Callithrix jacchus: one gene and its partners. The protein of the gene in region 2 purifies or fractionates together with the protein of the main gene of each other region. This does not show direct contact. Links are inferred from orthologs where the notes say so. Each region holds a gene or a part of one and is shown on either strand. Other genes may lie near its edges. The genes, in order: CHURC1, ACTR2 and CORO1C.

Region 1 (11,073 bases), on a different chromosome or scaffold from region 2:
AATCAATTCCACAAAAGTAACAGTAGACCCTAACAGTTTCAAGAAGAAAGTCAACATGTTAAGTACCCTTAGAAAATGTGATTCAGATAAATCCTGGTTAAGGATTTGTAAAGGTATACAAGTGTGCAAGAAGAAATGGCCGAAAATTATGAGGATAATTAGCATAAGAGTATGTTATAGGCCAGGCACGGTGGCTCACACCTGTAAGCCTAGCATTTTGGGAGGTCAAGGCGGGTGGATTATGAGGTCAGGAGTTTGAGACTAGCCTGGCCAAGATGATGAAACCCCATCTCTACTAAAAATACAAAATTAGCTAAGTACAGTGGCGTGCACCTATAGTCCCAGCTACTTGGGAGGCTGAGGCAGGAAAATCACTAGAACCTGGGCAATGGAAGTTGCAGTGAGCTGAGATCGCACCACTGCACTCCAGCCTGGGCAATAGAGTGAGGCTCTAAAAAAGAGTATGTTATAAAATCTTGTAAATGTGAGAAAGCTGTAATTATTCTGATAAAGACTGCATCATTTTTTTCCCAGCAATTTATTTCAGATGGTACAAGTTAATAGTGAATGTATATATTTTGCCAGGGAATATTTACAAACAGAAAATACAGTTTTTATTAAAGAACCAATTTTTGGTTTTGTTTTCTCTATTGTATTCTCTCAGTATTTTCTAGTCTAATCCTTATTATTTCCTTCCTTCTACTTGCTCTGGGTTTAGTTTGCTCGTTTTTCCATTGCCTTTTTTTTTTTTTTTTTATTGAGACATGGTCTCACTCTGCTGCCCAGGCTGGAGTGCTGCAACCTCCACATCTGGGTTAAAGTGATTGTCCCACCTCAGCCTCCCAAGTAGCTGGGACTACAGGCACACAAAACCACACCAGGCTAATTTTTGTATTGTTTGGTAGAGACAGGGTTTCACCATGTTGGCCAGGCTGGTCTCAAACTCCTGATCTGCTTGCTGCAGCCTCCCAAAGTGCTGGGTTTACAGATGTGAGCCACCGCACACGGCCTGTTTTTTCATTGTCTTAAGTGGAAGGTTAGGTAATTGATTGAAGAGTATACTTTTTAAACATAGACACTTATAAGTTTTAAGATGTAGAGTATCATTTTAAGGCATTCTTACATACAACTGTTTTACTAATTATATATTACTCATTTAATTAAATCTGGTTTAAGGTTATCTACTAAGCAACAACTTGAGTGTATGAAGCTTGGTGGCTTATCTTTAAATGAAAAATATAAAGCATGTAATTGTAAATTTAAACATATCACTAACACTGATTTTTTCCCACTGTTAATCTAATAATATATTTCTGTATTGCTGTTGCATTACTAACAAAATTTAAAGCTGAAATTAAAATATATGAAATATGTTTCATTTCCAGTTTGATATGAAAAATACCTTATTACAGTTTTGTGCCTGTTCAGTAATTTTAGAATATGCATAATTCTAGTTCTGACTGGTTTGCTAATGCTTTTCTGAAGGAAAAAAAACGTGGTTCACAGTTGAGTAAAAAAATTTGGGTTCAGAAAATTAGTGTGATTCATTTCCAACTTGACTCATGTCTGAGTTCAAATTCTCAGTGTTAACGTTACAAGCAAGTATGCCAGAGCCCCATTAGGAATTCAGTACTGTATATTTCTAGTCTGTAAAAATAAATCACAAAATTCCAAACTTTATGTAATCAAAGATAAATAATTAACTAATACTTACTCATTCTATATTTAGAGCTTCCCAACAAATGAATTTGTTTTTGTAAGTAGATTGGGTTTTGCTCTGTCGCCCAGGCTGGAGCACAGTGGCGTGATCTTAGCTTACTGGAGCTTCGAACTCCTGGGTTCAGGAAATCCTCCCACCTTATCCTCTTCCCGAGTAGGTGGAACTACAGGAACACACCACCACGCTGGGCTTATGTTTTTTTAATTTTCATTTTTAGTAAGGATAGGATCTCACTATGTTGCCCAGGCTGGTCTCAAATTCCTAGGCTCAAGCCATCCTTGTGCCTTGGTTTCCCAAAGTGTGAGGATTATAGGTGTGAGCCACCAGGCCCAGCCCACAATCTTCTTATTGCCCTTCTTTGCTAAGCTTCTGCAAAGCTTAGCAAAAGCAGTGGCTTCTGCTCTTACTGAATTTAAAAATAGGTCATGACTTCAAAGAACCCCTGAGTTGGAAGGGTCCTTGACATTCTAAATGGTCAGTTAAGTCTCTACTGAACAATCGAAAGACAGTTTAATTCCTCTAAGAGTTACTCATTCCATTTTGAAATGTCAGAAAGTTCTTTATTCTGATTCAAAGTCTAAGACCCATAACATCCACCCCGTAATTATTTCTAAATCTGCCTTCTAAAATTCCAAAGAAAAGTTTAATTCTTCTTCATGACAGTCTTTTAATTATTTTAGAACAGAATAAAAAAAGAGAAAAGTGCCTTTGAAAGGTACTCTCCTGGTTTTCCAATCACCTCAATCCTTTTTTTCTACTATTCTTCCTTATACTTTATTTTCATATCTGAAGATAATTTAGTCTTTGGAGCTCAGTCCCTGATTCACTACATTTTTTTCCTCAGCGAACAAATCCTATTTTGACATTTGTATTTAACTGACTCATTTATCTATGTAGTTGTACCCAAACTGCAATCTTATATCTTCACTTGACCCTTCAGATATTCTCAATCTCAGCGAACAAATCCTATTTTGACACGTGTATTTAACTGACTCATTTATCTATGTAGTTGTATCCAAACTGCAATCTTATATCTTCACTTGACCCTTCAGATATTCTCAATCTCAGGTGAAGCATATTAATAACAATTTGACCATTTGGCCTGAATTTTTGTTTTATCTTCCCATATGCCTCCAATTTCTGTAATGATACTTCCAATTTCCCAGCTGCCTAGATAGAAAACTGAGATCATGTGATCACATATAGCTCTCCCCTTATTCTCTTCTGCATTAAACTGATTGAATCTTATTCTTTTTTTCTTTTTTGAGACAGGGTCTCGCTCTGTTGCCCCGGAGCGAGTACAGTGGCACAATCATGGCACACTACAACCTCTTCCTCCTGGGCTCAAGTGATCCTCCCACCTTAGCCTCCGAGTAGCTGGGACTGTAGGTGCATGCCACCATGCCTGGCTAATTTGTTTTTTGTTTTTTTTTTTTGAGACAATGTTTCCCTCTTGTTGCCCAGGCTAGAGTGCAGTGACATGATCTCGGTTCACTGCAACCTCCACTTCCTGAGTTCAAATGATTCTTCTGCCTCAGTCTTGCAAGTAGCTGGGATTACAGGAGTGAGCCACCACACCCAGCTAATTTTTGTATTTTTAGTAGAGATGGGGTTTCACCATGTTGGCCAAATTGGTCTCAAACTCTGGAACTGAGGTGACCCACCCACCTCAGCCTCCCAAAGTGTTGGGATTACAGGCGTGAGCCACCGCGCCCGGCCTATTTGTATTTTTTGTAGAGACAGCGTTTTACCATGTTTCCTAGACTGGTCTCAAAACTCCTGGGCTCAAGCGATCCACCCGCCTTAGCCTCCCGAAGTGCTGGGATTCCAGGTGTGAGCACTGTGCCCGGCCTAATTCTTTCTTCGAAATAAGGTCTTCATTATCTCATGCTTACACTGTTGCCATAGCTCCTCAAATGTTCTGTGGAGTTCTCTCTTAACACACCCTCCATCCTACCATCAGCCATAAGATTCATTTTCCTAAATAACAGACTTCAGAATCATTTCTCTATTAAAATTTTGATGGTTGTCCAATGCATAAAATGTAAACTCTAAGCTTCTCAATATAACTTTTAAGTTTTACAATAACTCCACTCTTAAGAATCCAACCTAATCTCTTTAATATTCTCTACTGCTAACTTCTCCCTCATGGTCTTGTACTATCCCATGTTTATTACTGGCTTTGTAAAAATCTTTTTAAACTTAAAAAAATGAAATAGAACACAGTAAAGTACATGAAACATAAATGTAGAGCATAATAATTATAAAGAGAACATCTACAGAACCATCACCCAAATCAAGAAATAAAACACTGCTTGCACCCCACAAGACTTTTTCTCATTTGACCCTTCTTGATCACACCCTAATCCCTTAGCAGTAATTGAAATTACTGCTGTGTAATTGTAATTTCATTGTTATAATTCAGGGTTTCTCAACCTTGCACTATTGACATTGGGAGTGATACTTTGTTGTGGTGGCTGTCCCATGTATTGCAGGATGTTTAGTGGCATCCCCTGCACCATCCATTAGAAGTCAGTAGTGCTTTCCCACAACCAAAAAATGTCTCCGGATATTGCCAAATGTCTCCTAGGAGGCAAAAATCACTCCTGGTAGAGGACTACTGAACTACTTCATTCACTTCCGTTACTCATTCATTCATGTGTTCCACTCTATGAATATATCACAGTTATTTTTCCAATCTACCACCATAAAAATAATGCTGTTATGAACACTCTTATAAAAGTCTTCAGAAGCATATACACATTCATTTTTCTAGAATGGGAATCGCTGGGTCATTTCTGTATAAGGCTCACCCGTTTTTCCAAAGTGGTTGTATTGTATGAGAAAATATACTGTTATATATGCTTCTCAAAAGCCTAAGTATTACCCATAAGATACTAAGGCTTAAGCAACTATAGAGATTTTCTCCCTCCCATCCAATGCACCAATTCCATTCCTGTAATTTCCCCCCATCCTCCAGCTCCTCCTTACCTTGTTTTCTACCCTAATTACAACTGTCCTTCAAGTCTTAGAGGATGTCCACCTTTTCGCAGGGGAGAACAACACTATCTCCTATTGCCCTCCCCTTTCCCTAAACTTGAATAGCATTTCTGAACCGATCTACTCATTTTTTGTTAGTCGCATACTCCCCAAAACGGTGAGCTCTTAAGCAGCACCAAAGCTGCCTTTTTATTTCTAATTTGAAATAAAAGATCCAGCCGGACGCGGTGGCTCACGCCTGTAATTTCAGCACTTTGGGAGGCCAAGGCAGGAGGATCGCTTGATCCCAGGAATTTGAGACCAGCCTGGGCAACACTGGGAACCTGTCTCCAAAAAAGAGAGGAGAAATAAAGAATCCCTTTCTGGCCTAAAGCAATCTAGCTACACATATATAAATGTTCAACAAAGATACCCTGAATGAATGAGAAGAGACAAGCTTTGCAACCTCCTGAGCCTTAAAGTAACTGAGATTTAAAAGGCAGTAACAGCCAGGAAATCTGAATTCTAGTCCTGGCTCTCATCCATGCAACTACAACGTGAACTTGGGAAAGTGATTTTCCCTCTCTGGACGTCGGTTTCTTCATCTGCAAAAGTGTTAGAACAGATGACCTCTGAGGTCCCCTGCAGCGCTAGAATTCTGTAAGAAAACTGAACTTCATCAAATCGAGCTTGAGAATGAGACCGGAAGTGGGGGTGGGGGAGTCTTTCGGTTGTCGACCGGGGTTGTGATGGCGGTGGGGTTCCTCTGCTCCTCCCTGGAGCTCAAGCGAACCGGCACGACAGCTGAGGTCAGCCGCCAGGGCGGAGACCAGAGGTGCTGACCGCCACAGGCCATCCCCGGTGAACCTAAATACCGCTACCGGGTCAACGGGACCGGCAGTGTGGGCGAGTCCGCCCCACGTACGGCCTCTCTGGGAAGGCCAGCCTGGGGTGTGAGACACCTCGGGGGCCTGCCGCCGGCCAAAAGAGAGCCCAGTCGCTCACCCGGTTGGGATATTCCTTCTCCACACAGTCTCCACACATCGCGACGCAGTCAACAGGAAACGTCCTCCAATGCTTCCGGGAAGACGAAACCTCGCGAGAGCTGAGATACGGTTACCGCATGCGCCCAAGTACTCGACTCCTAGGTCTTCCGTCTCGGGAACCGATCCGAAATCTCCGCCCCTTAGCAACTGTTGTCAGGGCCGGGCACAGTCTCCTTGGCACCGTGTGTCTGCAAAGGGTGGGGATCCAGAAACCTTTGAAGAAAGGGGAAGAAACCTTATGCACTGACAGATGTGGGGGGAAGGGAAAGCGGATTTTGGGCTGAGCGAAGTTCTCACAGACGCCTTCCTGAGCTTAAGCTGACAAGAAAGGCAAATCACAACACACGAGAGGGAATTATTTCTCGCTACCCTATATACAAATCTGAAATGTTAATAAATACCTTTCTGTACCATTTCTTAAGGCAATGAAAGTGAATAAGAGACCAGATCTCAGCAGGTGGATAAACAGTAACTGAAGTGTGGGAAGAGACACTTGGAGCGCTGCAGAAAATCTCCTAAAACGAACACTTAAAATATTAGTAATAATTAGCCGTTCCAGAGACCTCTGGGGGACATAGCAATGAGTAACGTATTTCTGTCTCTCTCAGGTGTCACAGATGCACCTCAGTGGCGGGCAAGCACTATGTAAATAGAAAAATGACCAGGTGAGTTTTCCCTGCATCGTTTCCCAATCCTGCGGATCTCAAAATCCTTTTGATTGGCGCCCCGCCTCTTTCTTTCTCTATGTATTGAAAGCATCTTATTATTGGCAACTATCTAATTGCATCAGAACAATGTGTCTTCATCACACCCCCTTACTCCAATGGGAAATCAGCATCTTCCCTCAGCCCTGCTTTATTGCTGTCATGTCAGTGAAGAAAGATTAGGAAGCAGGGGAGACTCTGGGATCCAGATGCCTTAAAAAAGAGATTAATAACCATTTCAAAGCACACCAGTTTAATTGGGGTTGTTACTATGGGAATTATTTTTCCACGAAAGCATTGAAATTGTAACCTTTAGTATTTCAACTTTTAGTAAGTATCTGCAACTGTTATTAAAAATCGTAGGTGTGCTAAGAAACACTGCATGATATAGAGCCATCAGAGTTTATTATTGGAATAATTATAATGCCTCCCATTTGTATGACACTTTCAGCCTTTCAAAAGTGTCCTCATTTCAGTTTGTAATTTTATGCTATTTCGACCCTATGTGATTGGTAGGAAAAATATGTCTTCTCTTTTCATATGAGGAAACCACAGAAGTGAGTGGTTAAAGGACTTGTCTACAGTAAGAAAGCTACTTTGTAGTAGTCGGCCAGAGCTAGGACTCTGTTGCTGTCCTTGGCTCAATTTCTATCTAATACAGTAGCGCTAGCCACTTATGGCTCTAAAGCACTTTAAATACGGCAAGTTTGAACTGAGATTGTGCTGTATGTACATTCTGCATGCTAGATTTGGAAGATTTAGTATTAAAATATGTAAAAATCTTAATAAATGTATATGGTTATGTTGAAATAATTTTTGACATACTGGGTTAAATAAATGTATTATTAAATTAATTTCACCTGGTTCTTTTTTTAATGTGGCTACTAGAAAATTAAAAATTATACATGTACCTTTCATATTCCTATTGGACAAGGCTAGTCTATTCATTTTCTTTTCTTTTCTTTTTTTTTTTTGAGACAGAGTCTTGTTCTGTTGCCAGGCGCCAGGCTGGAGTGCAGTGGCACAATCTCGGCTCACTGCAACCTCCACCTCCCCAGTTCAAGCAATTCTCCTGCCTCAGCCTCCCAAGTAGCTGGGACTACTGGCGGACGCCACCACACCTAGCTAATTTTTGTATTTTTAGAGACAGGGTTTCATCATGTTGGCCAGGATGGTTTCGATCTCTTGATCTGGTGATCTGCCCGCCTCGGCCTCCCAAAGTGCTGGGATTACAGGCTTGAGCCACCGCACCCGGCCTTTATTTTTCTTTTTTAAGGAAGTCTCACTCTGTCACCCAGGCTGGAGTGCAGTGGCATGATCTCGGCTCACTGCAACCTCTGCTTCCTGGGTTCAAATGATTCTCATGCCTCAGCCTCCCAAGTGGCTGGGACTACAGGAGCACACAACCACAGCCAGCTAATTTTTTGTATTTTTAGTAGAGATGGGGTTTCACCATGTTGGCCAGGCTGGTCTCAATCTCCTGGTCTCAAGTGATCCACCTGCCTCTGCCTCTCAAAGTGCTGGGATTACAGGCATGAGCCTCGGCCCCTGGCTCAATTCCCTTCATCCATTTTTAAATGCTTTCTCTGTTTTTAAAGCCTAATACTGACTTTTAATCCTTTCCTATTCCCCAGATACTCACAGTTTAGTCTGAGAGATAAAATGAGCATGAGTACCAATAATTACTGGCAGATTGGGGTATAAGAACACAAAATGGTGAGACTTCACCCACGTAGAGGATTAGGAAAGAGGAATTTGGGCCTTAAAGCATGTATAGGATTTCAAAAAGCAGAGTTTTCTTTTGTTTGGTATAGAAATTTCAGGTGGACCATGCCAAGGAGTTTGGATTGTATTCTGCATGTGGTAGAGAGCCACAGAAGGTTTGAGCAGGAGAGTGTTGCCAGAGTTGTGGTTTAAAATTATTTTAGGTTTAAAATGATGAAGGCTCACACCTGTCATCCCAGCACTTTGGGAGGCCAAGGCAGGAGGATAGCTTGAAGCCAGGAGTTCAAGACCGGCTTGGGCAACATAGTGAGACTCTGTCTTTACAAAAAATTTAAAAATTAACCTAGTGTGGTGGTGTGCACCTGCAGTCCTAGCTACTCAAGAGGCTGAGGCAGGAAGATCTCTTGAGCCTAGGAGTTTGAGGCTGTAATGAGCTATGATCATGCCACTGCACCCCTGCCTGGACAACAGAGCGAGATCTTGTCCCTAAATAAATAAATAAATAAACAAGAAGATTATTTTAGCTGTAGTTTATTGGGACTTAATGGAAGTGTAAAAAAAAATGGACATGCGAAAGGCAGACGCTAACAGGAACCACAAGGGGGAGATGTATAGCTTTCTGCCTCAACACTGAGCATGTACACGACAAAAATTAATTAATTAAAAATTACACTACAGTCATAGATCTTAAAGAGTATACCCATTAGTATGAATTGATTTCACAATCTAAGGCACGAAAGACAATCTACATGTTTATAAAATTTTTTTACCTTCCCAGAGTTATATCATAACTTGTTATTAAAATGAGCAAGATAAAAAAAATGATCATCATATTCATGGTCACAAAAGCTCAAGAGCTCAGGGCTATCTGTCCAGTGAAGTCCTCCATTTAAATCTAGCCACATTCAGAGAAGAGAGGCAGGAAATGAGACTCGGGGGAGGAGGTAGACAGGACCAGAAATTAAAGTGTGATTGTGGTAATGGGAATACAAAATTATCTGAGGCTGACAGATGGAAGAAAGGAAAATAGAGGCTACAAAGCAGAAGGAGATTAGCACCTGAATGAAATGAACAAGTAGTGGTGTAACATAAGAAAAACAGTAAAAAAAAAAAATCTATTTCCTTTTCTCTTATAGGTAACTATATAAAATAAAGTTTGCAGAATCAGTTTTATATTCTAACAGAATTTTCTCTGGGACAATACCCTGCTTTTATGTGTCTTTAATAAATAGGTGATGTCCATGATGTATATCAAACATACAATGTTGCAGTTCATGTATGAGATCATCTCTTGTTAAAGAAATTGATTAAAGAAAATCTAAATGTTAAAATGGCCCTAACTGCTGGCTCAATTACATGTGCTAAACTACATCCCTGGGGCAAGATGAGGGATTTCCCTAAAGAGTGCAGTTTGAATCTCCTTTCAACACCTTCTGTTTTTTCTTCTGCCTTATAATGCCAAGAGACTAAAAGGATACAATGCTGATCCTATCTATTCTTTTCATCTTTTGTTGAAAGGAATGAAAAAGTGCCCCAGCCTTTATGGTAACATCCTCAGGCCAGTTTCACAGATGGAGGAGAGGATGCTCATCTCCAAGCAGAAGCTCATCTGCTTGGTGAAGGTATAGGTCATTCTTTCCATTGTGTCAGGCAAAGTGTGAAATAAGAGGCTGTGGTTATCTTCACCTGATGTCACCTGCCAGATATGAATGAATTAGCAGTAATTCTGGGTTAACACAGTGAGTACTGTGAGCCTGGCTGAGGACAGGTCCAAAAGCAGTCCTAGAAGTTCAGGGTCAGCAGGTTTTTATCTTAGCTCAGTGGCAGAGTTAGACTTTCTTACTTTTAGGGTTCTCCCGCCCAACTTCAGGCTACTTCCCCATTCAGATAATAAACTCCAGGCTTTCAAATACATTTATTTATTTATTGCTTTTTAAAACTTTATTTCAACATAACTATGCTTACAGAAGTACATTCATATTGGTTAATTAAATGCAATTTAAGTTTAAACTTATCCTGTGCAATTTGAATAAAAAACTTGGTTCATGGTTTTAGACTTTAAAAATGATTTTCAGTCTGGTTTATTTTTTGTCTATTACAAATGTATAAAAGATCCCCCATCAAATGCTGCAAAAACCTTGAGAAAATTACCTTTGGTTTGCCTCAGAAAAATAACATGCATTGCACTGCATGCTATTTTAAGTTTATAAAATTGGTGCAAAAAAATTGTTGTAATGCTTCAATTCTAGTTTAGAAAGTTCAATAACTAATAAATATGGAAATAGGTGTGAAGGAGCCTATGCACACATATGAAACTGTAAATATCTAATTTAGGTAATATTACATGTAGATTATAAATCCACACACACCAAGATTCAGATAATTTCTTCAATCTGAACTAACACTATGTGTTCACTTCATCTTCTGAGGTCAGTCAGGGAACTGGACATAGTAGTTGTTTTTCTGATGTATGCAAAAAAGAAAATTGAGTTTCTTCCTCAGCTTTTCAGTCCAGAAGTCACTGTACTATGAGCAAGGTATTCCTTATGTTGTTTGCCAACATTCATGCAGTGACATACAATGAGGTCTACTTGGGTTTTAATTTGTATCAGCACTCATATCCAAAATAGTCTACAAAGTTAATGACCACATGAATTTAGAAGTGACTCCAAAAAATAAAATGGCCCTGCTTAGAAGATTAGAACAAAACATTCAGCAATAGTTATAAGAAGTCTTATAAAAAAAAAAGGCAGCCCCTTGTGAATTATACCTCAATTTTTAAAAGTAGCCCCCAAATAAGAAGTAGCTCTGAAAAACAAAGAGAAAAAAATATAACTTAAAATATCTTTAAAACTAGTGTGGATATAGGTTCGAAAGATGAGTTAAAAGAAATTCATTT
Region 2 (11,226 bases):
ACCATATCCACAGTTCTGTATAACATTTGTCATCATCACCAACCTAATGTCAGTCATAATTTACACAAATATCTCAAATATAGGAATTAAATACTATTTAATATTAAATTATTATGCTTACCTCAAAGTAATAAACAGATATAGTCAAAAGGATCCATTTATTAGGATGAAAATGCTCACTTATATGGGTATAAATGATCTCAAAAAATATATAGAGTGAATGTATGAAAAGAGAATCTACTAGTTTGTAAGGGTCACTTTTAGCATGCTAAATGTAAATAAATAAGTTTACTACGTGAGAAATCATAAGAGAAGCTGGAGGTGGCAGGAAGAGCCTAGGATGGGGCATAGGTCAAATCCTAGTGCAGGGAAGAGGCTGCTAAGGTTGACATGTCTACCCTCTCCTTCAGAGCCACACACACTTGGGCACACAACAGGGCAAAGTGGCAAATAATCACATCACTCACAGTTTTCCGATTATAATAGTTCAGATGGGTAGTTCATGTCTTAAGATTCTTGTGAGTATATTTTAAGCAACAAAACATTTCCCAAGTTAGAAGACAAAAACTAAAATTCCTGAAACTATAAAAACAAATGTAAACCTACTATTACTTCTTCATAAAAAGAAAAAAAAATTGGCTTTTTATTTAAAGGTTATCAGTCACTTATTAAAAAAAATATTTATTCTGCTTGAGCAGTAGCTTACTGGAAGCAGATGCTGTAACAGAATTCAGCACGAGCTTTCCTACAGGGTATATATTAACCCATCAAAATAGCAAAAATCGCACTATTTCACATTACTTCAAATATGAAAGCATTAACAGTTATAATAACAGAACTAAAATAATTGGCTGGGAATGGTGACTCACACCTGTAATCCTGGCACTTTAGGAAGCCAAAGTGGGTGGACTGCTTGGGCCTAGGAGTTTGAGACCAGCCTGGGGCTACAAAGCAAAACCCAATTTCTACAAAAAAATACAAAAATTAGCCAGGCATGGTGATACATACCCATAGTCCCAGAAACCTCAAAGGCTGATGTGGGAGTATCATCTGAGCCCAGGAAGGTTGAGTATGCGTTGAGCCATGTTTGTTCTACTCACTCTGAGTGAGAGAGTGAGACCCTGTCTTTTAAAAAAAAAAAAAAGGCTGGGCCTGGGGCTTTGAGAGGCCAAGTCAGGTGTATCATTTGAGGTCAGGAGTTTGAGAGCAGCCTGGCCAATATGGTGAAACTCCATCTCTACTAAAACTACAAAATTGGCTGGGCGTGGTGGTGCATGCCTGTAATCCCAGCTACTCAGGAGGCTGAGGCAGGAAAATTGCTTGAACCTGGGAGACAGAGGTTGCAGTGAGGTGAGATTCCATGAATGCACTCCAGCCTGGGTGATAGAGAGAGACACTATCTCAAAAATAATAATAATAAAATTAATTTTTTTCTTTTTTAATTATACTGGCTACTCTGGGCACTCTGCCACTGGGGTAATACTGCTCTGCAAGGAGCAGCAAAAATAAAAATTATAATTCTAAAATTATATTATTTTTTGTAGAGACAGGGGTCTCACAACCTAGGCCCAACCTCCCCAGGCTCAGGTGATACCCCCACATCAGTCTCCCAAGACAGGTTACTCAGCCTGGTCTTGAATTCCCAGCCTCAAGCAATCTTCCCACCCTTACCTCCCAAAGTTCTGGGATTATAGGCATCAGCCACTGTGCCTGGCCCTAATTTTTCAATAATATGAAAATGACAATCTGATTACTTCTGCAAAAAATAATAAGTATTTTTTTTAAAAATCTAGGCCAGGTGCAGTGGCTCACATCTGTAATCCCAGCATTTTGGGAGGCCGAGGTAGGTGGATCACCTGAGATCAGGAGTTAAAGACCAGCCTGGCCAGCATGGTAAAGCCCAATCTCTACCAAAAATACAAAAAATAGCCAGGTGTGGTGGTGTGCACCTGTGATCTCAGCTACTCAGGAGGCTGAGGCAGGAGAAGAGCTTGAACCCAGGAGCTGGAGGCTACAGTGAGCCAAGATCCCACCACTGCACTCTAGCCCGGGTGACAGAGGGAGACACCATCTTAAAAAAAAAAAAAAATCTAAACATGATATGATAAAGTACAAAGAAAACATTATTTTCTAAACTATCATTGATATCATCTTAATCCCTCAAATTCCTCCTCCATGTCAATCATTTTAAAACTTAGTGACTTTGTTCTTTCATTGTGTGCCTAAAGGCTGTGTTTAAGAAATAGCTTTTACCATATATAGTTTCCTCTTCATAGCAGTGTGGTTTAAACTAGTTCCCTTACTTCCCACTGAGTCATCAAATGGTAAGAACAGTATAATGTTCTGTCAGGCACAAATGAAAAATTTCATCTACATCTGCTCTAAAAGTACATTTTTTTCTCTTCAAAAAAATAACCTGGAATTTCTAAAGCCCCATTTGGACCTAATTTAATTTTTATTTTCCCCTTACTAATTTTATCTGATGATATTGATGTATTTAGTAATTAAACTGCACAGTGACTATTCTTATCTTAGGCCACCAAAATATTTATTCTACTTATCCCAAAGCATATTACACGGTAAAACCATATTTGGTTTTGATTTGTTTCTGTTTCAAACACTACTAAATTAAACATATAAACTAGCAAAGCCTGATAAAGCAGGCCACAATCAACTACAAATGTCAATTATATAAATGCAAATCCAATTATTCTGGTACTATAACCTTCTCTGTATGACTAGACCTTATTAAGCACTGTACTAGCAACATAGCAAGCACTGGGGAAACCTTCATTTTGTTGGTGATCTAACTCACTGCTGATGAAATCTCCCAAGTCTTATCTCCAAGATAAACAACACCAGGGGCCTGGGCCCAGCTCTTGAAGGAGACCCAAACCTAGAGTTTCACAGACCTCTTGATTTTCACCTATCTGGACCAGCTGACTCCAGAAGGAGGTTTGAATGGTTAAAATCCACATAAATTATTGGATCAGATGAGTTTTCCTCCTCTGGGCAACCCTAAGGAGACACTGGTCAAGCTGGGAGATAGAAAATTGAGCAGGACCAACATCAGGCACGTTATTGTAAGAACAAACTTGTTCCCAGGCAAGCCTGTCCAACCCATGGCCCATGAGCTACATGAGGCCCAACACAAATTCACAAACTTTCTTAAAACATTGTAAATTTTTTTGGGCCATTTTTTTAGTTCATTAGCTATCATTAGTGTTAGTGTATGTTATGTGGCCCAAGATAATTATTCTTCTTCTAACATGGCCCAGGGACGCCAAAAGATTGGACACTCCTGTCCTAGAATATTCAATATGGGTCTGCCAGAGAGGTTTAAAAAAAAAAAAAAAAAAAATCAACGTTTCAAAAAGCCTATAATTTTATTTTTATTTTATTTTTTACTAGATATGGGGTCTTGTTATATTAACCCAGGCTGATCTCAAACTCTTGGCCTCAAGAAATCCTCTCATCTCAGCTTCCCAAAATGCTGGAATTACAGGCATGAGGAACCGCACCCAGCCAGCCTACCATTTTAAAACCTAAGGTGTGTAAGGAACAAAAGAGAAAACTTTAGGGTAACAACTATTTCCATAACTTCTTCAAAAATTACATCTGAATATCTTCTTGAACATTTAATTATAAAGGAATCATTATAACTTCAGGTACCTAAATACAATCAAGATGACTATGTCTACAAGTGGTAAGAAATATACAATCTAATTGATTCCTAGTTCTCTACATACTACATACTCAGAACTATCACAGCATTCCTGTTATATGATTCACATATTTTATCACCACTGTTTCTTCGGTTGAAACCAATCATGCCCATAGAAAATCTGGATAAAATTTAAAAATAACTAGAAACATAACAACAAATTTTTATTTGAATTAACTACACTCACTTTTTTCATTTATATCACAGCAACTGATCATTTGTATTAGAAAAAGGATCTTAAAAATATGGATTCAACATAAGACTAATCAATAATATTACAACCAGCTTTCTTTTTTTTGCGATGGAGTCTCACTCTGTCACCCACGCTGGGGTGCAGTGGCGTAATCTCGGCTCACGGCAACCTCTGCCTCCCAGGTTCAAGCAATTCTCCTGCCTCAGCCTCCCAAGTAGCTGAGATTCCAGGCATCCGCCACCATGCCTGGCTAATTTTTGTATTTTTAGTAGACACGGGGTTTCACCATGTTGGCCAGGCTGGTCTCGAACTCCTGGCCATCAAGTGATCTTCACACCTCGGCCTCCCAAAGTGCTGGTATTACAGGCATAAGTCACCGCGCCTGGCCTAAAATCAGCTTTCTAATGTTAGCTAAACTAACAGAGGCCAGGCACGGTCTTTCAAGCCTGTGGGAGGTCAAGGCAGGTAGATCCCAAGGTCAGGAGATCTAGACCATCCTGGCCATGGTGAAACCCCATCTCTACTAAAATACAAAACATTAGCCGGGCATGGTGGCAGGCACCTGTAGTCCCAGCTACTTAGAAGGCTGAGGCAGAGGAATCGCTTGAACCCAGGAGATGGGAGGTTGCAGTGAACTGAGATTGTACCACTGCACTCCAGCCTGGTGACAGATCAAGACTCCATCTCAAAAACAAAACAAAACAAAAACTACTAACGGATTAGTAACGTAACATTAGCTTATGATAGCTGGGTGCAGTGGCTCAAGCATGTAATCCTAGCACTTTAGGCGGAGGTGGGCAGATCTCTTGAGCCCAGGAGTTCAAGACCAGCCTGGGTAACATAGGGAGGCCCAGTCTCTACAAAAATAAAACATTAAGGCCTGCATAGTGGCTCACACCTGTAATCCCAGAACTTTGGAAGGCCAAGGTGGATGGATTACCTGAGGTCAGGAGTTCAAGGCCAGACCCTGTCTCTACTAAAAATGGAAACATTAACTGAGTGTGGAGGCACAGGCCTGTAATCCCAGCTACTAGGGAGGCTGAGGCAGGAGAATCGCTTCAGCCTGGGAGAAGGAGCTTGCAGTGAGCCGAGATTGCGCCACTGCACTCCAGCCTAGATGATAGAGAAAACTTTCATATGCAGATACAGGTTTGTGGACATACATTTTTACTAAAGAACACATACTTAAACTGAATCATTCTAAAATCTTTTTCAACTTAACAAATCTTAACCATGTTTCCATAGCAGTGGATCTTTTAAAAAGTATTACATTTTGAATAACTGTCCCATTATATATATTATATATTTTTTAATTTTTTATTTTTTGAGACTTAGTCTCACTCTGTCTCCCAGGGTGGAGTGAGTGGCATGATCTCGGCTCACTGCAACCTCCGCCTCCCAGGTTCAAGCGATTCTCCTGCCTCAACCTCCTGAGTAGCTGGGATTACAGGTGCCCAACACCATGTCCAGCTAATTTCTGTATTTTTAGTAGAGACACGGTTTCACTATGTTGGCCAGGGTGGTCTCAAACTCCTGACCTAACGTGATCTGCCCTCCTCAGCCTCCCAAAGTGCTGGGATTACAGGCATGAGGCACCGTGCCTGGCCTCATTATGTTACCACTTTTTATTCTAGTCCATTTTTAACACAGTTCAGATGAAGCTGGCATAACTATTGCTTGTAAAATTCTGTAACAAATCTAATCAAAGGCATTATTACGGCAGTAAATACCAGCTTTTTTTCCCCTCAACAATTCAGATTCCAAAATGTTTTGTTCAAGTAAAATGTATTTTAATTCATATATTATATTTATGGGAGGGGAGAAAAGTCATAAAATGTTGCAACATTAAAATGGTTAGAAATCATCACATCAGTCATCCAGAGTAAGTAATATTGCCATCTTCTAATTTGCTGACTTTGCTACCCGAAACAAATTTTTTTAAAATCTGGCGAGAGAGGTTCGAAACAACCTTCTTTCTTTTTTTGTTTTATTGAGACAGAGTTTCACTCCTGTCGACCAGGCTGGGAGTGCACTGGCGCATCTCAGCTCACTGCAACCTCTGCTTCCCAGCCTCAAGCGATTCTCCTGCCTCAGCCTCAGCCTCCTGAGCAGCTGGGATTACTGGCATGCGCCACCACGCCCGGCTAATTTTTGTATTTTTAGAACAGACGGGCTTTCACCACATTGGCCGGGCTAGTCTTGAACTCCTAACCTTACGTGATCCGCCCGCCTCGGCCTACAAAGTGCTGGGATTACAGAAACAACTTTCAAATAGTTTCTAAATCAGTGCTTTGGTCAGATTTTACCTTTTTTTAATCTTAAAGTCTAATATTACCTTTATTATGAGACTAAGGGGGAAAGGGAAGCTGGGGGCGGGTAACCAACGCTAATTAACTTCCCCTAAGGTCAGAGGAATTAACACTGCCGGGCCCTAGGTCCCCAAATCATCCAATGGAACATGCTGGTGTCCGCAGGCCTGTAGGGCCAAACCACCAGTTTGTAGAACAAAAAGTGAACGATGCGCAGCCGATCTGGACCCCCTTCCCTCGAAAAAAACAAACAAAAACAACAAACACAGCGAAAGGTCTGAGGCCCACACTCCTTGACAGCACTTCCTTTTTTTTTCTTTTTCTTTTTAAAGTAAACCCGTTTCCTGCTTCTCGTTTGGTATATCTTCAACTATACAGGAAGAGGAAGGCCTCTAGGTGTTTCTTCTTTTCATACACCGGCGGCCCTGGGGAAAAGAGCACTTCTCGAAACACACAAACCGAGCCTTTTACCCCTTCGGCCGCTTTAGTCTTTTACCCCTCGGTCCGCTTTAGCCCAATTGCCCCGCTCAAGCGCGGAGCCGGTCCCTGCCTAGCGGTCAGTAGGCTCCGCGTCCAGTGTTGGTCTCGCCAGCCGCCTCGACCCGGAAGGCTGCGGGGGCGGCAGGCTAAGGGGAGACCAGGGCACGGCCGACTCGCCCTCCTGCCCGCGAAGGTGGGAAGCACCGCCCCGCGCCCCTTGGCCCCTAGGGCCTGGAGGTGCAGCCCAGGGGGCCGAGGGCCCGCGCGCCCGCTGCACGTCCCCGCCTGCGCCTATGGCCGCCAAGGCCTCCTCGCCAGGCGCTTACCCCGGTGCCGTTGTCGCACACCACCACCTTCCTGCCCTGGCTGTCCATCGTCCGCCCAGGTGAGAGCCGCTGCCGCCCCACAACCTACAGCCGCCGCCGCCCGGCCGTTTTCTTTTCTTCCTCTCTCTTCGCGGCCCCTCCTTCGGCCTAACTTTTTTCCCCCAACAGGAAGTCGCCGCCCGGCTCCGCCCGTCATTTAGCTGAATGTCTGAGCGGAACGTGTGGGACGGGCGGGAAGCGCGACTGGCAGCGGTGAGCTCCAATAAAAAATGGAGAAGCTTCGAGGCGCCTCCCGCAGCTCCACTTCCGGCTCGGCTGTCACGGTCGTTTCCTACCCAGGTTCTTCCTCTCTGCTTCTAGTTCCCGGCGCTTCGCCGGGCGTTAATGGCGGCCAACGTTGTCGCGGGTCCTGCGGCTTTCTCCCTGAAATGTCACAGAAACTAAGGGCGCCGCTTAACGAACTGCAGAAGACGCAGGCAGGTGAAGGACACCGGTTCTGCGGTGGCATGGAATGTGGCGGAGAAGCCGGCGGGAAGGACCGGGAGCAAGCCTGGGAGGTCCTGGCCGACCCCACCATTGAACAGGGCTTGGTGTGTCATTGCTTCTAGGCCTTTTCAGCGGACAGAACTGGGATGCATACACACACGCTTATTTGAAATCATGCATTTGTTCCATACTCCAATCTCAGCCCACTCCTTTGCCCAAGTTGCTCTATGGTCAAGTGAGAGAGAGCAGGTGCCTGCATTTCCAGCCTTCTGGCTCACTGCCTCCTTCTTCCAGTAGTCCCATGTCTCTTCACACCTCTTCAGTACATGTACAGCTGTGAACCCAGAGCCTTGGCTTTGAAATCAGACAACTCCAGTTTCAAACGTGGTGCTGCCACTCACGAGTTTTGTAATTTTGGCATACCCCTGTCTGTGCATGGGAATAACTTCTATCTCCATGGATGTGGTGAGAATAAGTCTGAATAGAAGAAATGTTCATTCAGTGGTAGCTATTTCTTACTAATTCTGTTCTTTTGAACCTATGATTCTATCTACGATGCCTCATTTTTTTTCCTTTTTTTTTAAATTTTTTTATTTTTATTTTTTATTGGATTTTAGGTTTTGGGGTACATGAGCAGAGCATGCAAGACAGTTGCGTAGGTACGCACATGGCAGTGTGCTTTGCTTTGCTTCTCCCCTTCACCCACATTTTTTTCCTTTTTAAAAATAGGTTGGCAAACTTGTGCTCTGAGACCCAGCTTGTCACATCTTTGATGACAGCTGATATCCTCAGGATGTTCCTTACTCCCTTTCCTCGCTATTATTTTGCTATGAACATATGAATAACATTATTGTGCTTATTACATGCAACAAATATTTATTGGATGAATGACATTAAAATTCACATTTAAAATGCCATCCTTTTGAGAGCTGAGAACTAGAACTTTGCCTTCAACATGGCTGTATATGTTCAACAATAGAATAAAATGAATCGTGAACCCCCCAATCCAGTATTCTTTCTATAGTATAGCTGCCTCTCAGTTTTCACTGTTCTTTTAGTAGACTAGTGATTTTCAAACCTATATAAAAGCATAGAGTGCTTTATTCAAATTTAATCTTATATGAAACGCCAAACACATGGATAAATATAAATAGATAAATAAAGCTGCCATTTGTTGCAGTTGGAAATTTGAGAGGTTAGAATAGGTAGGAGGTCTCAGGAGAACATTTCTTCCCTTTATCTGCTTTAGTAGTGAGAGAAGTACCTCAGTCTGCGGAAAAGTTTGTTTGTTCATTAATTCCTTGAGTATAAAATCCATCTTATTTTTGTGGCTCTAGTGCTAGTGCTGTGCAATTTTCTTGAAAGTACATTTTATTGGTCTCAGCAAATTGAACTCAAGCATTTCTGTGTTCTTTTACTTTTCCTCTTTGTGGAATTAAATGGATTGCTAATTTTTATTTTATTTATTAAGTTTTTTATTACATTTTAGGTTTTGGGGTACATGTGCAGAACATACAAGACAGTTGCATAGGTACACACATGGCAGTGTGTTTTGCTTCCTTTCTCCCCTTTACCCACATTTGGCATTTCTCCCCAGGCTATCCCTCCCCAGCTCCCCCCCCCACTGGCCCTCCCCTTTTCCCCCCAATAGACCCCAGTGTTTAGTACTCCCCTCCCTGTGTCCATGTGTTCTCATTTTTCATCACCCGCCTATGAGTGAGAATATGCGGTATTTCATTTTCTGTTCTTGTGTCAGTTTGCTGAGAAAGATGTTCTCCAGATTCATCCATGTCCCTACAAACGACACGAACTCATCATTTCTGATTGCTGCATAATATTCCATGGTGTATATGTGCCACATTTTCCCAATCCTGTCTATCATCAATGGGCATTTGGGTTGATTCCAGGTCTTTGCTATTGTAGACAGTGCTGCAATGAACATTCGTGTGCATGTGTCCTTATAGTAGAACGATTTATAGTCCTTTGGATATATACCCAGTAATGGGATTGCTGGGTCAAATGGAATTTCTATTTCTAAGGCCTTGAGGAATCGCCACACTGTCTTCCACAATGGTTGAACTAATTTACACTCCCACCAGCAGTGTAAAAGTGTTCCTTTTTCTCCACATCCTCTCCAGCATCTGTTGTCTCCAGATTTTTTAATGATCGCCATTCTAACTGGCGTGAGATGGTATCTCAATGTGGTTTTGATTTGCATCTCTCTGATGACCAGTGATGATGAGCATTTTTTCATATGATTGTTGGCCTCATATATGTCTTCTTTTGTAAAGTGTCTGTTCATATCCTTTTCCCATTTTTGAACGGGCTTGTTTGTTTTTTTCCTGTAAATCTGTTTTAGTTCTTTGTAAATTCTGGATATCAGCCCTTTGTCAGATGGGTAAACTGCAAAAATTTGTTCCCATTCTGTTGGTTGCCGATTCACTCTAGTGACTTTCTTTTACCGTGCAGAAGCTGTGGAGTTTGATTAGGTCCCATTTGTCTATTTTGGCTTTTGTTGCCAATGCTTTTGGTGTTTTGTTCATGAAGTCCTTGCCTACTCCTATGTCCTGGCTGGTTTTGCCTAGATTTCCTTCTAGGGTTTTTATGGTGCCAGGTCTTATGTTTAAGTCTTTAATTCATCTGGAGTTAATTTTAGTGTAAGGTGTCAGGAAGGGGTCCAGTTTCTTCTTTCTGCACATGGCTAGCCAGTTTTCCCAACACCATTTGTTAAACAGGGAATCCTTTCCCCATTGCTTGTTTTTGTCAAGTTTATCAAAGATTGTATGGTTGTAGATATGTTGTGTTGCCTCCGATGCCTCTGTTTTGTTCCATTGGTCTATATCTCTGTTTTGGTACCAGTACCATGCTGTTTTGATTACTGTAACCTTGTAGTATAGTTTGAAATCCGGTAGTGTGATGCCCCCCGCTGTGTTCTTTTTGCTTAGAATTGACTTGGCTATGCGGGCTCTCTTTTGGTTCCATACGAAGTTCATGGTGTTTTTTTCCAGTTCTGTGAAGAACGTCAATGGTAGCTTGATGGTGATAGCGTTGATTCTGTAAATTACTTTGGGCAGTATAGCCATTTTCACGATATTAATTCTTCCTAACCATGAACATGGAATGTTTCTCCATCTGTTTGTGTCCTCTCTTATTTCGTTGACAGTGGTTTGTAGTTTTCCTTGAAGAGGTCTCTTATGTTCCTTGTGAGTTGTATTCCTAGGTATTTTATTCTTTTTGTAGCAATTGTGAATGGCAGTTCGTTCTTGATTTGGCTTTCTTTAAGTCTGTTATTGGTGTAGACGAATGCTTGTGATTTTTGCACATTGATTTTATATCCTGAGACTTTGCTGAAGTTGCTTATCAGTTTCAGGAGTTTTTGGGCTGAGGCGATGGGGTCTTCTAGGTATACTATCATGTCATCTGCAAATAGAGACAATTTGGCTTCCACCTTTCCTATTTAAATACCCTTTATTTCTTTTTCTTGCCTGATTGCTCTGGCTAGAAATTCCAGTACTATGTTGAATAGGAGTGGTGAAAGAGGGCATCCTTGTCTAGTGCCGGATTTCAAAGGGAATGCTTCCAGTTTTTGCCCATTCAGTATGATATTGGCTGTTGGTTTGTCGTAAATAGCTTTTATTACTTTGAGATACGTTCCATCGATACCGAGTTTATTGAGGGTTTTTAGCCTAACGGGCTGTTGAATTTTGT
Region 3 (10,129 bases), on a different chromosome or scaffold from region 2:
GGAAAATGCTCCAATCAGGGCACTCTTGTGAAGAAAAGAAGACACACTGGTGTTTCTTCTGCACCTAGCAGTGCTACCTGATTGGTGATTTTAGATTTATCTGTGCTTGTGTCAGGGATGGGTAACCAGTTGGCCACATCTAATGCTGAAATTTGTTGGATAACCCTAGATGAGCACGTGTATACTTAGTACCACACACCATGGACTTGTTAAGAGAATGGTGCTTTGTGGATGCAAACTTTTGAGGGCCTCAAAGGCTCTCTGGAGGGTTCTTGTTCCTGGGGTTCAGAGCTAGGACCCTGGGCTTGAAGATATGAGTCCTGACTAAAGCTCAGGGGTGATAGCAATTATAGGGAGACTCCTCACTGAACTCCAAAAACCTTCCCCCTGCCTTATGAGCCCAGCATGCCTAGGCTGTGGGTAGCTTTATTATTTCATTTTTGTAGGTGGGAGCATTATAATTCCTAATATTTTTATAGGCTCAATTTCCCTTAGAACTTTTTGTGGTTGAAATAAACAAATTAATAGCAATAGAGCTGTTGATATACTCCCTAGACCTGTTAGATAGCCCTTCACTGGGTGGTAAAGCTGGTGATGTTTGCTTTTCATAGCTGATTGAGCATGCTGCAGACCTGCTTTACGTTTTTATAATAGGTCAGTTTCTTAGAAACGGTGATCTTGTCTGTTTCCTTGGAAGCCATTTTACTGCAGATGTTAACAGGTGTTAAGCACATTAACCTTGCCGTTGTTGCCCTTGACTGAAGTAAAACGCACAAAATGATCAGTTACTCAGATATTAGTAGCACAAGATGGAAAATTCTTTTGGGTATGCAGAAAATGACTAGCAAGGGTTTAGCTTCTTTTCCATTGCTTTAGATATCTCAATCATTGAGACAAATGGAAATCTGAGAACTGGGAGCACTGTTGAGGCATGATACCACCTAGCTATTTTTGTCTTCTTCTTTCTTGCATATATGTATATCTCCTCTCTGCCAGACAAGATTGCCTTCATTGTTCAGGTTGGTGTAACTGTGTGACAATTATTTGTACTTAGACTAACATATGCTTCAGCACTCAAAAACATCTGACCATTCTAAGCAAGAAAGTAGTGGAATTGTACACATGGCAATGAGATGGCATTTCTGAGGATACTCACTAAAACTGAGTTTCTTCATTAGAAAAATCTCATTTTTTGTCATCATCTGAATGCCTGATATTGGTGCCCTTAGGTCTGTGAACAGCATTGCGCTATGCCAGTGAATGAATACTTAAATCAAGAATTGCATTCTTGGCAATTCTCTTAGTCTTTGTTTGTTTGTTTGTTTGTTTTTTGAAGTCGAATTGCAATGTAGCTGTTTAGCAGAGGCATTAACATTTTTGCTCTAACTCTGGCCTGGTACCTAGGCTCAGTGGAGTAAAATTAGAGCCTTTGGTAGGAGGCTGAGGAGACCACTTAAAAGGCATGCTAGCATTTGATAAGTGAGGGGTTACTTTATGAAGAAAAGAAACTGTCATATGCTTTATCAATTTTATCATATGCAAGCCTCTTTATGAAGAAACAAAGGTTAGCCACTGAAGTAGGGTCCCAACTAATGCTGGGTTTATAGAGATACCCACATAATCCAGATGTTTCAGTAACAATCAGACACAAACTTGTCTCTGATTTCTTACAGGGCGACAGCAGTATTCGCTATTTTGAGATAACGGATGAGTCCCCGTATGTCCACTACCTCAACACATTCAGCAGCAAGGAGCCTCAGAGAGGGATGGGTTACATGCCCAAGAGGGGACTTGATGTGAACAAATGTGAGATTGCCAGGTAAAAAATAGAGATTGTCATTATTCTAGGTTGGTGTAACTGTGTGACAATTATTTGTACTCAGACTAGCATATACTTCGGATCTCAAAAATATCTTACTATTCTAAGTAAGAAATTAGTAGACTTACACTCATTGCCATGAGATGGCACTTTCTGAGGATACTCACTAAAACCAAATTTCTTCATTATGAAAAAGTCTCACTTTTTTTTTTTTTTTTTTTGAGGCGGAGTCTCACTCTGTTGCCCAAGCAGGAGTGCAGTGTGTGATCTCAGCTCACTGCAACCTCCACCTCCCTGGTTCAAGCGATTTTCCTGCCTTAGCCTTCCAAGTAGCTGAGATTATAGGCACCCACCACCACACCAAGCAAATCTCACTTTTTATCATCATCTGATTGCCCGATGGTACCAGAGCAATACAGCTACAAGAAATTCTATGAAGCCCAAGTCTTTCTATCCTTGTGTGTACTATGGAATTAATACTTTGTTTCCTGCCTATACAACTGAAGTGTAACAATTACGTGGAATACTGGGGTGTATTGCACAGCTACTGAAATAGTGAAACATGCATCTTTAATCTTCAAGCTGAGGCCATGGTCAGTGTTCTCTGGTGGGCAAGTAGGGGAGAGCCTGGCTTGGGGATGGAAAAGGGGGTGGTTTTCTTACTCTATGAGTGGAAGAACTGGGGTCAAAACTGTATTTGGTGCCCCACTGGTCCTAAACTAGAGAAAGCAAAGATCCTATAATGGGGTGGTAGCTTGATTTAGGAAATTCAGCTTTGATACAATTTCTTCCTCTCTGTACTACTTCTGAGTTTTAAAAAATTTATATTCTATGATGTCAGTGGGCTTCCTAAGGGATAGGCTTTTTTCTCATGCTAGTCAACAAAGATACCCTTTGAGACTCAGTGACCACTGGTCACTTCAAACAGCAGAGTAATTAGCACTACATCATCACAGGTAAGGTCATACCACACATTTCTGTAACACTGTGTTTATATGGACTTTTAAAAACCTTGCTGTTCTAGTCTCACAGTTAAAGAATTGATACTTATAACTTTCAAAATACAAGTAAAAGAATTTTTATGTAAGTTCTTTTTTTACATTAATCTCTACTAAAAATACAGAAATCAGCTGGGCGTGGTGGCGTGTGCCTGTACCAGCTACTCGGGAGGCTGAGGCAGTAGAATCACTTGAACCCGAGAGGTGGAGGTTGCAGTGAGCCAAGATCACACCACTGCACTTCAGCTTGGGCGACAAAGTGAGACTCTATCTCAGAAAACAAACAAAAAACCCAAACTCTCTGTTGGATTTTTTTCCCTAATAGATGGAATAATGAAGGAAGGCTGTTAAAGGTAATTGAAAATGGTTTAAACCAAACTAATCAAAATGTGGTTCAAAGTAGGCTGACTTTGAACTGATGATTACATCCAGTATTTCGAAACACATTTGTTGTCATCTAAAAGTTCAACAGACTAAACACAGTTGTTCAGAATGTCTCCTGTTTCTGAAGTGTTTCTTGAGCATTTATTATATGCCAGGTACTGTGCTAGATATGCTACATGCTACCTTTTTCACTTCTCATAACAATCCTATGTGGTAGATGCTACTTTTATCTCCATTTTATGGATGAAGAACTTGCAGCTTGGTAAGGTAGTCATACTCTCACGGGTTTTAGTAGTAGAGATGGAAGTCAAAGCCAGGTCAGGATTTTTAATCATTGTACTAACTGCAGAATTTTCATTAAATCAGTCTTTAAAAATGTTTTTGGGCCAGGAGTGGTGACTTACCCTCTAATCCCAACATTTTGGGAGGCCAGGGTGGGAGGATCCCTTGAGCCTGGGAGTTCAAGAGCAATATGGGCAATCTAGTGAGACTTGTCTCTACAAAACATTAAGAAGTTAGCAAGGCATGGTAGTCTGTACCTGTGGTCCCAGTTATTGCAGAGGCTGAGGTGGGAGGATTTGCTTGAGCGCAGGAGGTCAAGGCCTCAGTGAGCTTGTGCCACTGCACTCCAGCCTGGGTAATAGAGCAAGATCCTGTCTTTAAAAAAAAAAAAAAGTTTTTGGTTTATCTGGGGCCTTTGGTTTTTGGTTGAAATAGTAAACAGGCACATTTGATACAACCTTCTTTTAAGAGGATGATGATTTTACAAACACCTTTACCACCACCCTGAGCTCTTCTCAGCTTTTGTTCCCCTGGGTGTTAGAGCAATGTATCTGCCAGGCTGTCTTCACTGGACTCCTGCCCAGTTTCAAATGCCAAAGGCTGCAGGTTTTGCAGGAGAAATGAGTTTCACTTGTTTTGCATATTTGATGTGTCAGTGTCTTCTCTGACTTAAACTCTTAAAATTCAGAAAACATTTCCCCAGTAACATTTACACCTACCCTTAACTCCCCCCTTGCACAGAACCATTTGATCTGGTGATCTGGCCAGAATACTCACTAAGACTACCTCTCTTGCCAGGAGCTTTAGAGAGAATTTTTTATTGTTTCTCATCTTGACTGAAAAAGAAAATTGTCTTGTTCTCTCCTGTATGTTGACATGGTAATTTTTTCACAAGTGAGTCAGTTTCAGGGTTGCTATTATTCCATCACAGTTTATCTGCCCCCCAGATAATTGGCATTTGCCATCATAATACCTAGACCTCTACTCATGGTTCTTGTCTCCAGTCTGCCATTTCCTAGCATTCTGACTCTCGGCTTTCGTTCTCTCATCTGTCAACCCAGAACACTAAGTTTTGCCTCTTCCCAGGGTGGATCAGATGTGGGGATGGGTGAAGAAACACTTGACATTTCAGACAGCTTTGTAGAAAAGTCATTATTAATCCTGTTACTCAGCCTCATATTTCACTTAATACAACTTTGCCTTTATTTCCCCTCTGAAGATTCTTCAAACTTCATGAGAGAAAGTGTGAACCTATCATCATGACTGTTCCCAGGAAGGTGAGTGCCTAGTTTTCTAAACAATCCATGTTTTAAACATATGTAAAAATAAAATTCAAAAATTCCAGGCCATTCTTATTCCTGACCCGTGGGTGCCAAATGTCTCTTGTAGTCTGACCTTTTCCAAGATGACCTGTATCCTGACACAGCGGGGCCAGAAGCTGCGCTGGAGGCAGAAGAGTGGTTCGAGGGCAAGAATGCAGACCCAATCCTCATCTCCTTGAAGCATGGGTACATTCCAGGCAAAAACAGGGATCTCAAGGTGGTAAAGAAGAACATTTTGGATAGCAAGCCCACTGCAAACAAGAAGTGCGACCTGATCAGCGTCCCCAAGAAAACCACAGACACCGCCAGTGTGGTGAGGGCCCCTAGAGTGCGGGGGTGCTTGGCTGGTTCAGGCTTTATCTTCTGTAAAGTGCTTATGGTCCAGGGCATTGGCGAGGACTGTCTCAGCTGGGTGCACAGGGGTTTTCAGTAAATGAAAAAGTGGGAGAAGGTTGTAGGTCATGTGATGGTGGTCGTTTGTGGCCACACTTGCCTCCTCTAATGGAGTTAAAACTCCTTTAGCCCCATTAAAGGAGCCAAGTGTGGCCACAAACCATCATGACTGGGATAGGTGTTAGTCTCCTACCACTTCTGAGTGTGAACAGGAACCTCTTGGGTTTTTCCTGTCTTTTGCAAAACTAGTTTAATCCTTTCCTGTTTTGGGTAGAAATAAAATATCATGGGAGCATGGGTTCGTAGGCACCAGGGAGAGGAGGTCCCTGGAAGGAGGGAGTGCCAAGTGTTCAGATATAGCTGAGTGGCTATGACAGAAGGATCTGGCTGTGTGGGGATGATGGAAACAAGGGGGATTTAGGCAAGAGCTGTTTGGGTGGGGCAATGGGAATTGAGCCTGCTCTTAACTCACTGTGGCCACTGGAGAGTGCTGCTATTGCCAGGAGAGCAGGTCCTATGGAAGAGAGGGGGAGTGGGCACACAGGGCAAGGGTCTCACTCCTAAGAAGGAGCCTCTCTCACAGATGGCAGGAGCTCTGTAGCTTCTGGGAGAATCTCTGCTTGCTCTGGTCAGATAGAAGTTACTCTTGATGGAATGATTGGGGTGGTTAGGATGTAGGGCAGCCTTGAAGGAGCTATAGTCTAATTGTGTTTTGTCCTGTAGTCTAATTGTGACCCAGGAGACCCTTTAAGTAAATGCACAGGCCTCAGGATCAGAAGTGGCACTGTGACACACTGTTGTTTTGCTACGGGGTTTCAGATGGATTTGCCAGTGCTCATTGCGTTCAAAGCCCCAGGTGCAGTAGGGCTTTGACTTTTCTTTTTAGCTTGGTGACTGTGACTTGCCGTTTGCAAAACAGAAAATTACATTTTATGTCTTACAAGTTTTGAACTGTGTTGAACTTTGTTTACTGCATTTTAGTCACTACCTCCTTTTTTTGTTTGTTTTCTTAGCAAAATGAAGCCAAGTTGGATGAGATTTTAAAAGAGATCAAATCTATAAAAGACACAATCTGCAATCAAGATGAGCGTATTTCCAAGTTAGAACAGCAGATGGCGAAGATAGCAGCCTGAAGTTCCCACCCCCACCCCTACAAAAAATGGGAGCAAGAACTTGTGCTTGGGAGCTGGTTGTTGGTGTGGTCCTAGGGAGGGCGGAAGGGAGGCACTGCCATTTGGAGACATTCCATTTCAGATTTGTCAACCAGCGATAGGCCACATTCCAGTAAGAACTCAATTTGTCTCCTGAATTAACAAAACGTGATTTAAAAGCTGACCTTTTTATCAGAAAGCTTTTTTGATGTTTTAAGTGTTATGTGACTTGCTGAACTTTCAAAAAAAGTGCTACTTTTAAAATCCCAGACATTCTGAATTTTAGAAAACAAACTAATTCTGATTGTGTCGTGCCCAATTACCCCCACTTTTTTTTAATATATAGGGACCAATGCCACATTGCTTTTTATATTTCTTTCTTTTTTAATGTTGCCAAAACCAAAAGTAGCTTTGTTTTCCTTTGTATTTTGCTACTTTGCAGTATTTGTGTGGTTTTTTTCCCTTAATTTGAAAGGGACAGCACCATGTATGTTTATAAACTAAATGAAGATAAGATATTATTTTGTATAAACATTCATCTGAGAACAATCAGAGCAGTAGCCACATGGTGCTGACTCCTTCGTAGCACAAAGGTCTTGATGACTGTACAACAGGAAGACTTGAAAAATCACGTGGATTCATAGTACCACCCTTCTCATTTCATGGAGTCTTCTGATCAAAAAAGCTCTTATCGTATTTCTTCCTTTCCTTTCTCTTTTCTAGAAATTGAGTGTTTGTACCAGAATGGAATTTTGCTTCTTCGTTATCCTGTGCTTCAGATGATTATAATCTAACCCAAACTAGCATGTGTTTCTGCAGTTTGTTACACACCTAGGACCTACTGCATTCATCACTTTAAACATCATGTTTCAGGTTTTGGTCAATACTTGACAAGGGTGCCTGGGACAGGAAGACCTGTGTATAGCTGAGTGTTCCTTCTTGCCCTTTTCAGCAACTTGCCCAGCTCTTGAGTGCAGTGGTGGGGACTAAAAATGAGGGCATGTGGAGGGGAGTATTTGTGCTGGGTGATCCTGTTTCCCCGTGCTGTCCCCATGCTCTCCTCATGCTGTACTGGAAGAGGAAGTGGCTCTCCTTCCACCAACAAAGCTCCTGCTCTACCCTCTTCCTCACATGTGCTGTAACCTCTCAGGGCTCCCCCAGCCATTCCTTCTTTCCTTCCTGCCGTTTAGCTCTAACCACATTAAGCTAAGACGAGGCCAGAGGTGCGATGGAATTGAATATTGAGACTGAGGAGAATGATCGAGAGTGAAGCAGAAACAGGAACGCAGACCTCTGCTGTAGCTTTAGTGTGAACAAACGTGTCCCTCTGCACAACTAACCTGCTCTGCCTCTCCATCTCACACTAAGGCTATGTCAAAGCACAGAGCCTCCCCGGACTCGGAGTGGGGTCAGAGACTGAGCTCTGGTCGCTTATTCATTCCTTGGGTAGCTAGAGCTTTGCCCCATTTCCAATTTCTCATATTGCATGCTTGGGAAACAAGATTTAAGGGGCCTGTGTTTTGGAAGGGTGGTCTGTGATTGAACGTGAAATGTGTAGTGCCATTGGGACCACAAAGGGAACTCTTTCACATGCTTGTGCTGGTGTGGACATGGGCCTGGCAGGAAACGTCTGTATACAGGGAGCCAGGGTGAGGGCAGAGTGTGGTGATGGCTGAACTTGGAGTAATGTTCGTGTAGAAAAGGTACCATGTTCTTATCCAGCCAATATTGGGAATGCTGTCTCCACAATTTCAGGGCGTCTGAATGTTTGATGTGGTTTCGTGTGTGTGTGTATTTGTGTGTTTCATATTGAAGTGGATCATGAAATGTAAAGAAAACAATCATGACATTGACTTATATTCAAACCTGTATTTGTTTCCTTATCATCAGAATCTGCCGAGGACCTTTGTGTCTGAGATTCAGAAATGTTTGAAAGTTCCGATACTGAATTAATGAAGTAAACAAAGTTGTTGTTGATAGTGAAACACCGTAGGGTATGTGGTTCCAAGAGAAGGGGAGGGCGAGGGAGAGTGCCCCTGATCTTAGTTTGTAGCTTACGACTTATTTAATGAATGAATGCCCAGACAGGCTCAGAGTAGGCACCCTAAACATTGTGGTGGATTGTTTTCCTGTTTTGTCTTTTTTTTTTTTTTTTTTTATAGCCACAACATCCCAGAAGAGGACAGTGAATTATTCCTAGGTCGGCTCTTATAGAGTGGCCAATGTTCTGTCAAAACACTTGCTTCCATTTTCAGAGATAAAAATCATTGATTACAAAATGTGTTTGTGTTTATTTCACACCTTGGCTGTCTGTGAGGCAGCCCCCACCTCTCTGCCTGACACAGCTTCTCTGACTGCTGGACGAGCACGGTGGCATAGTCCTCTCTGGGGTAAGGGCTGGGGAAGTGCATGTGGGCGGCTCTGCCAAAGCACAAGGGAGACCAGGTGAGGTCTCCAAGCCAGTCAAGCCCTGTGTTCTGGCTTCCAACAGACTTGGGCATTTGGATCCTGCCTCAGACCGTTGCCAGTGGTATATTCTGGAGTGGAGTTCCTAAACCTTTTGAGTCCCTTTTCTTGAAAGGAGGATGGTAATTCAATATAGTTCTGGTGAAAGGAATACCTGTCTGGCCACACAAATAGCCCTCGCTGCATGGCCGCCACTGTTACTAGTAGGCTGGGAGTTGATTTCCTGACAGGGCCTTTGAAAACACCTTTTCTTTAGTAGAAGCAAAATTCTCTTGGCTCAGCTGTGACTTTTATTCCAGCAGGCTTCCAGGGTCAGTTGAATTGCAGGGCTTCCCTTTTGCACTATGACATTGTTTTGTGACATTTCAGTGATTGTAGCAAAGAATTTCTCACTGTTTGCTTTTTCTGAATGTTTGTGAATATGATGAATAGTCAGCATGAAGCTCCCCTTCCTCAAATGCCTTAAAGTTGCTTTAGTCTGTGAGAAGAATGGCAGCCATGTTCTTGGTCCAATGTGGCTGCAGGAAGTAGAAGTTGGCAGGGCTCTCTATAGACCCGAGGTGCCAATGGTCAGCCAGGAGGCACGTGGTGGTCTGTTTATGACTGACTTGTTTTCTCACTCCGGCCACCTCGATTCTTTGCCAGTAGACCTGAAGGTCAGCATGCCTGCCTCAGACAGCAAGCCAGACCTCGTCTGGGGGGAACTTCCATTTTTTTTTTAAGGTCACTTCCCTTGTTGTACTTGGTATTCTGCATCCAGAAAAACTCTTTGTTGGCTCTTAAGAATCTGTTAACTCTAAGTGACTCCTTCTCTTTCTGCTGGCACATTAAGTATTCTAATGTTGGCACTGAGTCATGGATGTGAGTCATTGCGAAGCGTATACCTTTCCTGCTTCAGACGGGCAACCCTTGATGTCCAGGCTGGACAGTGCCCTTTGTGCTCTTTTGTTTGTTAAAAAAGAAGTCCCTTGCCAAAGAATGTAGGGGTGGCAGTCCTTTCCTGTGAGAAGGGGTGTGTGTGCAGGGTGAACAGCCTTTCCAGAGGGCATTCTGGCAAGTGTGTCAAAAGTCTTAAATGTTTTCTTAAAGGTTCTCACCTCTGGGAATTACTAGTGGGAGGTATATTCAGGAATTAGTAGAGTAAAAATCACCTGTGCAGAAGAGGATCAGTTAAGTTCCCTGTCACATTCATATGTTATAACACTGTTTAGTTATTTAAAGTCATGTAAAAAGAGTATTGAATAGGAAACATTTAAAAAAAATAGTACAACAGAGTCAATTCCAACTTGGGTTTAAAAAAAGATACCTACCTAG

What was found.
Region 1: the proteins of ACTR2 (region 2) and CHURC1 purify together in Homo sapiens (affinity purification with mass spectrometry; 4 studies listed by BioGRID and IntAct, with this or other methods). This does not show direct contact. The link is inferred for Callithrix jacchus from reciprocal best matches to the Homo sapiens genes ACTR2 and CHURC1.
Region 3: the proteins of ACTR2 (region 2) and CORO1C fractionate together in Homo sapiens (co-fractionation; 3 studies listed by BioGRID and IntAct, with this or other methods). This does not show direct contact. The link is inferred for Callithrix jacchus from reciprocal best matches to the Homo sapiens genes ACTR2 and CORO1C.

What each region holds. Positions count from the first base shown.
Region 1 is NC_133509.1:99,577,727-99,588,799, reverse strand, and holds the start of CHURC1 (protein Churchill), read right to left. Parts: upstream 5,782-11,073; 5' UTR 5,744-5,781; coding exon 5,705-5,743; intron 1-5,704. UniProt on the Homo sapiens protein: Transcriptional activator that mediates FGF signaling during neural development. Plays a role in the regulation of cell movement.
Region 2 is NC_133515.1:48,686,085-48,697,310, forward strand, and holds the start of ACTR2 (actin-related protein 2), read right to left. Parts: upstream 7,199-11,226; 5' UTR 7,081-7,198; coding exon 7,033-7,080; intron 1-7,032. UniProt on the Homo sapiens protein: ATP-binding component of the Arp2/3 complex, a multiprotein complex that mediates actin polymerization upon stimulation by nucleation-promoting factor (NPF).
Region 3 is NC_133510.1:111,538,417-111,548,545, reverse strand, and holds the end of CORO1C (coronin-1C), read left to right. Parts: intron 1-1,673; coding exon 1,674-1,819; intron 1,820-4,702; coding exon 4,703-4,760; intron 4,761-4,872; coding exon 4,873-5,118; intron 5,119-6,211; coding exon 6,212-6,331; 3' UTR 6,332-8,628; downstream 8,629-10,129. UniProt on the Homo sapiens protein: Plays a role in directed cell migration by regulating the activation and subcellular location of RAC1. Increases the presence of activated RAC1 at the leading edge of migrating cells.